Linked DNA regions of Arabidopsis thaliana. The protein of the gene in region 1 interacts with the protein of each later gene in a pairwise test. Each region holds a gene or a part of one and is shown on either strand. Other genes may lie near its edges.

What was found.
Region 2: the proteins of VIP4 (region 1) and AT3G07170 interact in a two-hybrid assay, tested with the Arabidopsis thaliana proteins (one large-scale study listed by BioGRID).

Annotation. Positions count from the first base shown.
Region 1 is NC_003076.8:24,605,587-24,609,508, reverse strand, and holds the start of VIP4 (leo1-like family protein), read left to right. Parts: upstream 1-1,783; 5' UTR 1,784-1,980; coding exon 1,981-2,097; intron 2,098-2,360; coding exon 2,361-2,692; intron 2,693-2,861; coding exon 2,862-2,991; intron 2,992-3,114; coding exon 3,115-3,315; intron 3,316-3,637; coding exon 3,638-3,814; intron 3,815-3,922. Other genes in the region: AACT1 (anthocyanin 5-aromatic acyltransferase 1), read right to left, coding at 1-728. UniProt on the Arabidopsis thaliana protein: Component of the PAF1 complex (PAF1C) which is involved in histone modifications such as methylation on histone H3 'Lys-4' (H3K4me3). Involved in regulation of flowering time. Required for the expression of the flowering repressor and MADS box gene FLC.
Region 2 is NC_003074.8:2,278,200-2,282,121, forward strand, and holds the start of AT3G07170 (Sterile alpha motif (SAM) domain-containing protein), read left to right. Parts: upstream 1-1,994; 5' UTR 1,995-2,228; coding exon 2,229-2,341; intron 2,342-2,348; exon of another isoform or gene 2,349-2,514; coding exon of another isoform or gene 2,515-2,573; intron 2,574-2,861; coding exon 2,862-2,923; intron 2,924-3,021; coding exon 3,022-3,275; intron 3,276-3,448; coding exon 3,449-3,523; intron 3,524-3,611; coding exon 3,612-3,674; exon of another isoform or gene 3,675-3,853; coding exon 3,854-3,898; 3' UTR 3,899-3,922. Other genes in the region: GSL10 (glucan synthase-like 10), read right to left, coding at 119-215, 344-498, 786-883, 986-1,184.

The DNA.
Region 1 (3,922 bases):
AGGACGTTGTCTTTAGCGTTAATCTCTTTGACTGGAGGTAGCTTTAGGGTTCTTCCGTTCTCTTTGTCGTCCTCCGTAAGATACGGCAGAAGTTCGAGCATCTTTTGTTCAAGTCCGGCTGGAACATTGACGACAGAACGATCTAAAACCGTTGGTAGAATTTTCGGTATGGTGCCATGTTTACAAGTGTGAGCCCATGCTTTGTTAAATTTTTCAGCCGTTTTGCCGTCCAAGACGACATGGTGGGCTGTGGTTCCAATGCAGAAGCCTTGTTTCGGGAACAAAGTGACTTGCAGAGATACAACAGCCCCCGAGTCAGAATAAATCGGTAGCTCGGGTATTAGAGGGCGTAACTCTAGCTCTGGACGAAGCCCTCTGCCAGAGATACGTGAGAAATCCGCATCAGTCTCAGCCACTGTGAGAGAGAGTGTGTCTCCTGAGAGAACAACTAAATGCGGCTTTGGATCTTGTGAATCCCACTTAAGGTGACCCGTGAATAGGCGAAAGTGAGTGAGGATGAGTGAAAGAGATCGCTCGAGCTTGGGGAGGATGGAGGAGTAGAAAACGTCGCGAGATGATGATGATTCGGTGAGTTTGTAAAAGAAGACTTGCTCGGTAGGGTTGAGTTTAAGCCACTGTAAATCAAAGAACGAGAGTGGGACAATGAGCGGGTCGACGGAGGCGGTTGCAGGGCTGACTCGGGAGATCTTGATCACCTTTAACGCCATTTCTCACTTGTACTCTCGTCTTTTAGATAATATTCCTTTGTACGTATGAGTTTATTCAGCTGAGTATCAGATGGAGTTAACTCTTATACTAACATAACAAGCTACCGAGTCAGCCCTAGTCAAAAACGTTGGTTGGAAGCCAAGGCACGTAATTACCATTTGAATTATTTTGGTCCCTCCAGAGGCGGCCAGGCGGCTTAAGCCAACTGCGACTGCCAGATATCATAGATAAAAATTGTTATATATATATATATATATATATATATATAAAATATATAATTTTATTTTTGTGGTTTATATTTATTATTTTTGGTGGTAAAAACATTCTTAGAAGATAAATTTTTGTAGATAAAAGGCTGAAAAATAAATTTATGGAAAATATATAAATAAACATTTGTGAGCAAAATGTGTCTACATAAAATTGTAATTTTCTCGAGTTAAAAAAAAGCAAAAAGTGAAATTTCCAAAAGCCTTAAACTAGTTTGAGTAATTTAAAAGTGTCCATAGTTTTTTCTTTTTTCTTTTTATTCCATAATTTCTTGAGTTTTTCAGAAATTACTATAATTCTGTTTAAATTTTCAGGATTTCCTGAATATTCATGATGTTTAGTTGTCACTTAAGTTTTCATAGAACACAAGTCGGTTATGCTTTTACCTAATCTTTGTCTCTTGTTAATTTCTAAAGCAGATAAAATCTATAAACCAACAACAATGTTTTAGAAGAAGACATAACATTTATTTTGGCAACTCAAGTTATTTGATCAAAGAAGTTAATAATTAGTTTTTAAAATAAATTAAATATAAAAAAATAGGGGCCAAAAGAATCAGTTAAAAGGATGTTGTATCATTCATATACATAGGGGCCAAGGCAAACACAAGCTCACTATCACAAAGAAACTGGTATCCATAACCCAAAATTTGTGGGCCAAAAATATTGAATTCCAATCTCAAAAAAGCCCATAAAATCCCATCTTTTTTCCCTCTCTAGTCGTCGTTACACGTAAAAAAAATGATTTTTAATAATCCGGTAATGCGTTAAAAAAGATATATCGATGAAAATTTCCTTTTCTTTGTAAGTTGTAACAATTGTTTTTAATAATAATAATTCTGATGCCATAAAATCGCGAGGTAGAGATGAAAAAAAAATAGCTTCTTCAACAAAGGCCGATAACAGTGAACCCTTCGTCGGAGCTCAGATCACGAGCCGCCGTCACCAGCTAAGAGGCAGTGACTTTTGAGTAAGTGAGGCGAAGATGGTTAAAGGAGAAAAGAGATCCGAGATGATGCTTAATCTGTTCGGAGATAATTCCGAGGAAGAAGAGATCGAATCCGAACATGAATGCAATCGTCGTCAGCCTAACTACGCTTCCGTAACTCTCTCCATCTTTATCTCCTTCGTTTCGTCACTATTGATTGTTTCAGTTTTCGTATTTTTCACTGCCACTGTTCTTCAATTACACCTTGGAATACGAATGGTTTCTGGAGTTCTTCTCGCTTGAATTTAGGGTTTTAGGTTAATTGCAGGAACCAATGCAACTTATTAGGCCTAATTCAGCTTCAGTTCTTCTTAATATCAACTAGACTAAGATATCAGTGAAATTGTGGCTGAAATTTCCAATGTAAACACTGATAGGATGAGGCTGAGGGCGGGGTGGAGCCTGAAGGAGAAGGTGAAGCTGAGGTTGAAGTTCACGGAGAAGCTGAAGCTGAGTCTGACGGGGAACAGGGAGATGTAGAACTTGATCCTGGAGAAAGTGAGGGTGAGAGGGAGCAAAGTTCACAGGAGGCTGATCCACAAGAGGAAAGTGAAGCAAGAGATAGTGATAGTGATAACAAAGAAGAAGAACATGGGGGTAGAGTAGCCAAAAAGAGGAGACAGGAGGTTGTTGAGAGCGGATCAGAGAGGTCTGGTGAAAAGCATTATGAGTCTGAAGATGAAGAGGTTGATCAGACTAGGAGTCCAAGGTACCCCTTTTTCCATTCTTTTTTTTCCTAGCTGTTTCATAGCTTCTTTTTGATCTTTTCTGTGCTCTGGATTTAATAATACTTGCTAGTCCTCTGAGGTTCCTTGGATTTTCAAATTTCTTATGGATCACTTTGTCTTTTGTACATGGAAATATGGCGTGGTGGGTAGATCACCTAGTGAGGAGAAGGAAGAGGTTCAAGTTGCACAGTCAGACGTAAATATTCGTAATGTTTTCGGATCTTCGGATGATGAAGACGCAGAAGAATATGTTCGGAATGACGTTGAGCAGGATGAACATGTGAGTCTTGCATCTAATATTACATTTCAGTTTACAGAATATCTGTTTCCTTTCCAGTGTTTGCTTCCTTTTAGAAACCATATGAAATTGCATGTATGTATGATGAGATGTCTAATTTTGTAGAGATCGCCAATCGAAGATGAAGAGGGCTCTGAGAAGGATCTGAGACCCGATGATATGGTGCTTGATGATATAATCCCTGAAGAAGATCCTCAATACGAGTCAGAAGCTGAACATGTTGAAGCTAGGTACAGGGAGAGGCCAGTTGGTCCCCCTTTGGAAGTGGAGGTTCCTTTCCGCCCTCCTCCAGGTGACCCCGTTAAGGTATACCTGCTTTATGTTGCTAAAAGATTATTCGCTGACATGGCTTCAAATCAATAGTTTCCTTTCTGGTATTTCCAAGTTACCAAAATCTCTCATATCATTGTGGTTCGAAGAGTGAGTATCTGATGTCTTTTATGTGGAGAACCATTGCACTGAAACATGCTTCTACATTTACTTAGCATGAAGGGCCATTTGGTGTACATGAGCGTGCTATTCTGTTTTATATCTGAAACCCCATTTTCTAGTTGTCTATCTGTAGTGAAGATGTTCTGTAGCAAAATTGCGCTTCCTCATATACCGTTTTCTCTTTGATCTTTTTCAGATGAACATGATAAAAGTTTCCAATATCATGGGGATTGATCCAAAGCCTTTTGATGCCAAAACATTCGTTGAAGAAGACACATTCATGACAGATGAACCCGGAGCAAAGAATCGTATCCGTTTGGACAATAATATTGTTCGCCATAGGTTTGTTAAGAGTCGAGATGGCAAAACATATGTAAGTGAACACTTCTTCAAAGCTTTTCTGCTTTTAAATTTTCCATCAAACCTGCAATGAAGCTATGTAGTTTGCCTATTACTAGTACTTCTGATGCAATGATGTATT
Region 2 (3,922 bases), on another chromosome or scaffold:
GAATAGGAGTTTAATTGCATCAACTTTTTTGGAGTAACTTTTCATCCTCATGATTCCCTTTCTTAAGTTCAAAAAATGTAAGAATGAAACAAGATGTGCTAAAAGAAATCTACACAACCTCTTCAGGAATCTCTTTTGCCAACTGCTCCAACACACTTCCCAGAACTTTCAGGGTGGCAAAAACTCTTTTCCTTTTTACTGTTTTCCGTTCCAGCCTGGAAGCCAATATCAAACCGTATGGACAACAATTAAGCTATCTGAGTTATGTTTGGCGTTCAAGAACATAAAATTCACAGATTAAGTGCAAAGGGAAAAGTAATAAGCGCATAGTTTATATACATACTCGTCAGTGAAAGCCCCCGACTCACGGAGCTGTTTCTCTTCCTCCTTCAACGTGTCAACATTGTTCTTTTCTCTGTATAGCCTGTAAAATTCTTGTAGTCGAAGAATATCCTGACTTCTGTCTATGGTCCCAACCTCTCTTTTTGCTAATTTTTGCTACAATTAACAAGTGATAACAAAGCATTTGAATGCAAAACCATGGGCAAAAATCACATAAATAAAATTCAATGAAGCTGATCGTATAATTTACAAGCAACGCATTTCAGTTTCCGAAAAACAGATTCGGAATTCAAAAGTATCTGCCACACATTGATCATCTATTATATATATCAACGACATCACAGGATTCATGCAGCTTCCAATGGCATAAATAACATATTCAATGAAGTGGTCGGTAACAAACATATGGATGACTGTATCTAACATACATAAGAGAAAAATACCTTAATAACAGACATCAATCCAGTTTTGAACTGTAAAACACCTCTGCCTTCACTATTAGGATCGAGATTTTGTGCAAGTGAGTAACCATGCTCACATACTGCAGTAAAACAATTGTCAAGAAGATCACAACAGTGTCATTGCACAGAGAAAAGAAAAGCTAAACCCGCTAAGGAACAAAACCCAAGTAAGAAGAGCTTACAGATTCTTGCAATGTTGGGATCCTCATCCTGAATCTCATCGGCAGCTCTAAGAATTGCATCGATGTCCCTATTGTTGGATAGTGAGGAAGGGACATAACCAACAATACTGCTTTGATTACCACCAGCAACTCCTCCTGTTCTATCTCTCCGTAAAGCAGCATTCACCAGCCTCTCCCAAGATGACTCAGCTCGAGACATTTTCTACAAACAAAAAACATCAAAGTACTCAGCAGCTTAAACTAACGTAAAACCCAACACTAAGTAAATGAAATGTAATCAAATCCAGGAAGATACACGTGAATTATACAGATTCGGACAAGTGACCTAGGCACAACTGAAAAAAGCAAAATAAGTTGTAAACGTTGTTCTTTAACCTAGGACTAGTTGTAATCAACGAAACAAAACTAAAAAAAAAAATAGAGAAAAATTTAGGGATCCTGAATCTGAGCTTCTCGCGTCTCAAGTTCATACGATTGAAACAAGTAGACAACAAAGACATTAAAAATGGATAAAACCCCCCAAAAAAAACAAAAGCGGGAGTTACCTAATCAGACGTCAGAAACCTCAGATATGGAGTCGAAGCAGAATTGGATCAGTCATAGAAGAGAATTAGCCAAGAATTTAGCGAAGAAAGCTTAGAAGCTAGCTCGCTTATGTCCGTCTTTCTAAGTTTCAAAACTTTTTCGTTTTTTAGGGATTTTTTGTTTATTTTAATCTAAAACATTACAAAGAAAGGAATCTGGATGTTTTTTATCAAGAAAAAAAATGAATCTGACAAACAAAAATTTAACCGCGTGTTGACAAAACAAAAAAAAAGAAATGAAAAGCTTAGCCGCGTTGTCAAAGAAAAATCGAACCGAAACGTCTTTTGAATCGCCGGATTAACTCTGGTTAACAGTCAAACCGGTTATCGTTTTTTTTGTTCTGAACGCATAATCCTGATTCTCGACCCGACCCGACCCGTTACTTTGATTGGATGTTAATTTCCCGAATACTCTCTCGCAACGTAGATCCTGGTGAAGCCAAAGGCATCGTGAGCAAAATCCGCAGTTTTCTACATTAATGGATTGTTTCTGTTCTAGAGCTTCTCTTCCGTCTCTGTGATTTCTGGGTAGATTCTAGGATTTCTATTTGCATCTCTAACCTGAGAGCTGCTAATAGTCCACACAACTTTTTAGTTTGTGAGTTTTCCTAATTTAGGGTTAGGACAAATTTCTGTATTTTTCATCCAAGGGGATAAAGATGTATGCTGATAAATTGGAGGCTGAGTCTGGAAGCAGGAAGGTCGTTAAGGATCGTATCAATGGCGGTTCTGGAGACATCTCTACTCGCGTGCGACAAGTGACTGGGAAGAGGTTCTTATCTATCTCCCTCTCTCCGTCATAATTCTATTGAGATATATCTTGCTTTCCTCGAAAATTCTTCAGTATGTTAGCTGGTACTTGGTGTTAGAGTCTTTTCCTCTTGTGTATAATCTTCCTTGTAGCATCCCCAAGTTTGATTCTTGCTTCGCTCTATGAATTAGAGTATGGAATCCGCTCTTTTTGTTAGCTTACTAGGACTCTCTGATTTGCCCATTTTGAATTGGTAATTTCAATCAACTTCACTGCATTGTCAATTAGATCAGCTTTATGAGCTTCTCTAGTTTGAGTGCCTACCTGCATAGTTAAATCTGGAGATGTGATCTATCTGATGATGTTTTTGTTGATGGTTGGTGATTTGATTAGGGTTTTAAGGCAATTTAATTGAATCTTTTGGGTGATGAACTTTTTTTGCTTTTGCGTTGGGGAATGGTTTATATTCCTCTCGTTATGTAGTCTTCATTGTTAATTACATATCAGTTTATCTCAAGTTTCTCCTTCCTCATGCTTTCAGGCAAAGGCAGGACGACAAATGGGAGCATGATCTTTTCAGTAGTGACAAACCTCAACTTTCAAGTATGTTTTTCCCCCTCATCTATTCTTTCAGTAGAAAATTAAGTATGACAAAAGTATTTCTGTTTGGTTGTTGATTCTCTATCGGATGGCTTATTTAGATCGCAGGGTTGATCCTAGAGATCTTCGTTTGAAGCTCCAAAAGAGACATCATGGGTCTCAAAGTGGGCGAGAAGCTGGTTCAGGCGTGCGGGATTTACGGGATCAGCTCTCTGGGACAATGAATCAGCAACCAAAAAACAGTGACCCACCAAAATCCAAAGCGGAGGCTGCTAGGCCAAGTATGAAGAGCGTAGCGACTGAAACAGAGACTAGAAAAACTTCCAGTCAAGCTACCAGGAAGAAATCACAGCAGGCAATATGATTCACTTTTCTTCAACTATATTTTTCCATCAGTACTTTATTGCTTGGGAGAAACCATTCTTCTGACCGGTGCGAAAATGTAGTTAGACACATAGCTTACGATGTCTCTTCCCTTGTATACAGGCCATCCACTAATGTTTCTTTGCTTGTCATCTTCTGGTTCAGGCTGATTCATCGGTTGATAGCTTTCTTGAATCATTGGGTCTCGAGAAATATTCAACAGCGTTTCAAGTGGAAGAAGTATGTAATATCTTCTATTAGGTTGAAATTTATGTTATGTTATGGATGATGCATATATAACGTTCCTATCCTTTTCGGTCATTCACAGGTTGATATGGATGCTCTCATGCATATGACAGATGATGACCTCAAGGCTATGCTCATACCGATGGTAAGCTTCATGTTGAGTTGCCACACAACATCTAGTATCACTCTTATCATATCTTGCAGATTTTGAATGAATTTCAATTTCTCAGTTTTGTTTGATCTGTTGTAACGCGAAAAACTACATCCACTCTCTTCGTTCAACATTATTACGCTCTCTTTTCACAAGCTATGTTTTCGTTGCAGGGTCCGAGGAAGAAGATACTTCTTGCTTTGGGATCTAAACCCTAAGAGCTTAGTGCCATCTACCTGATG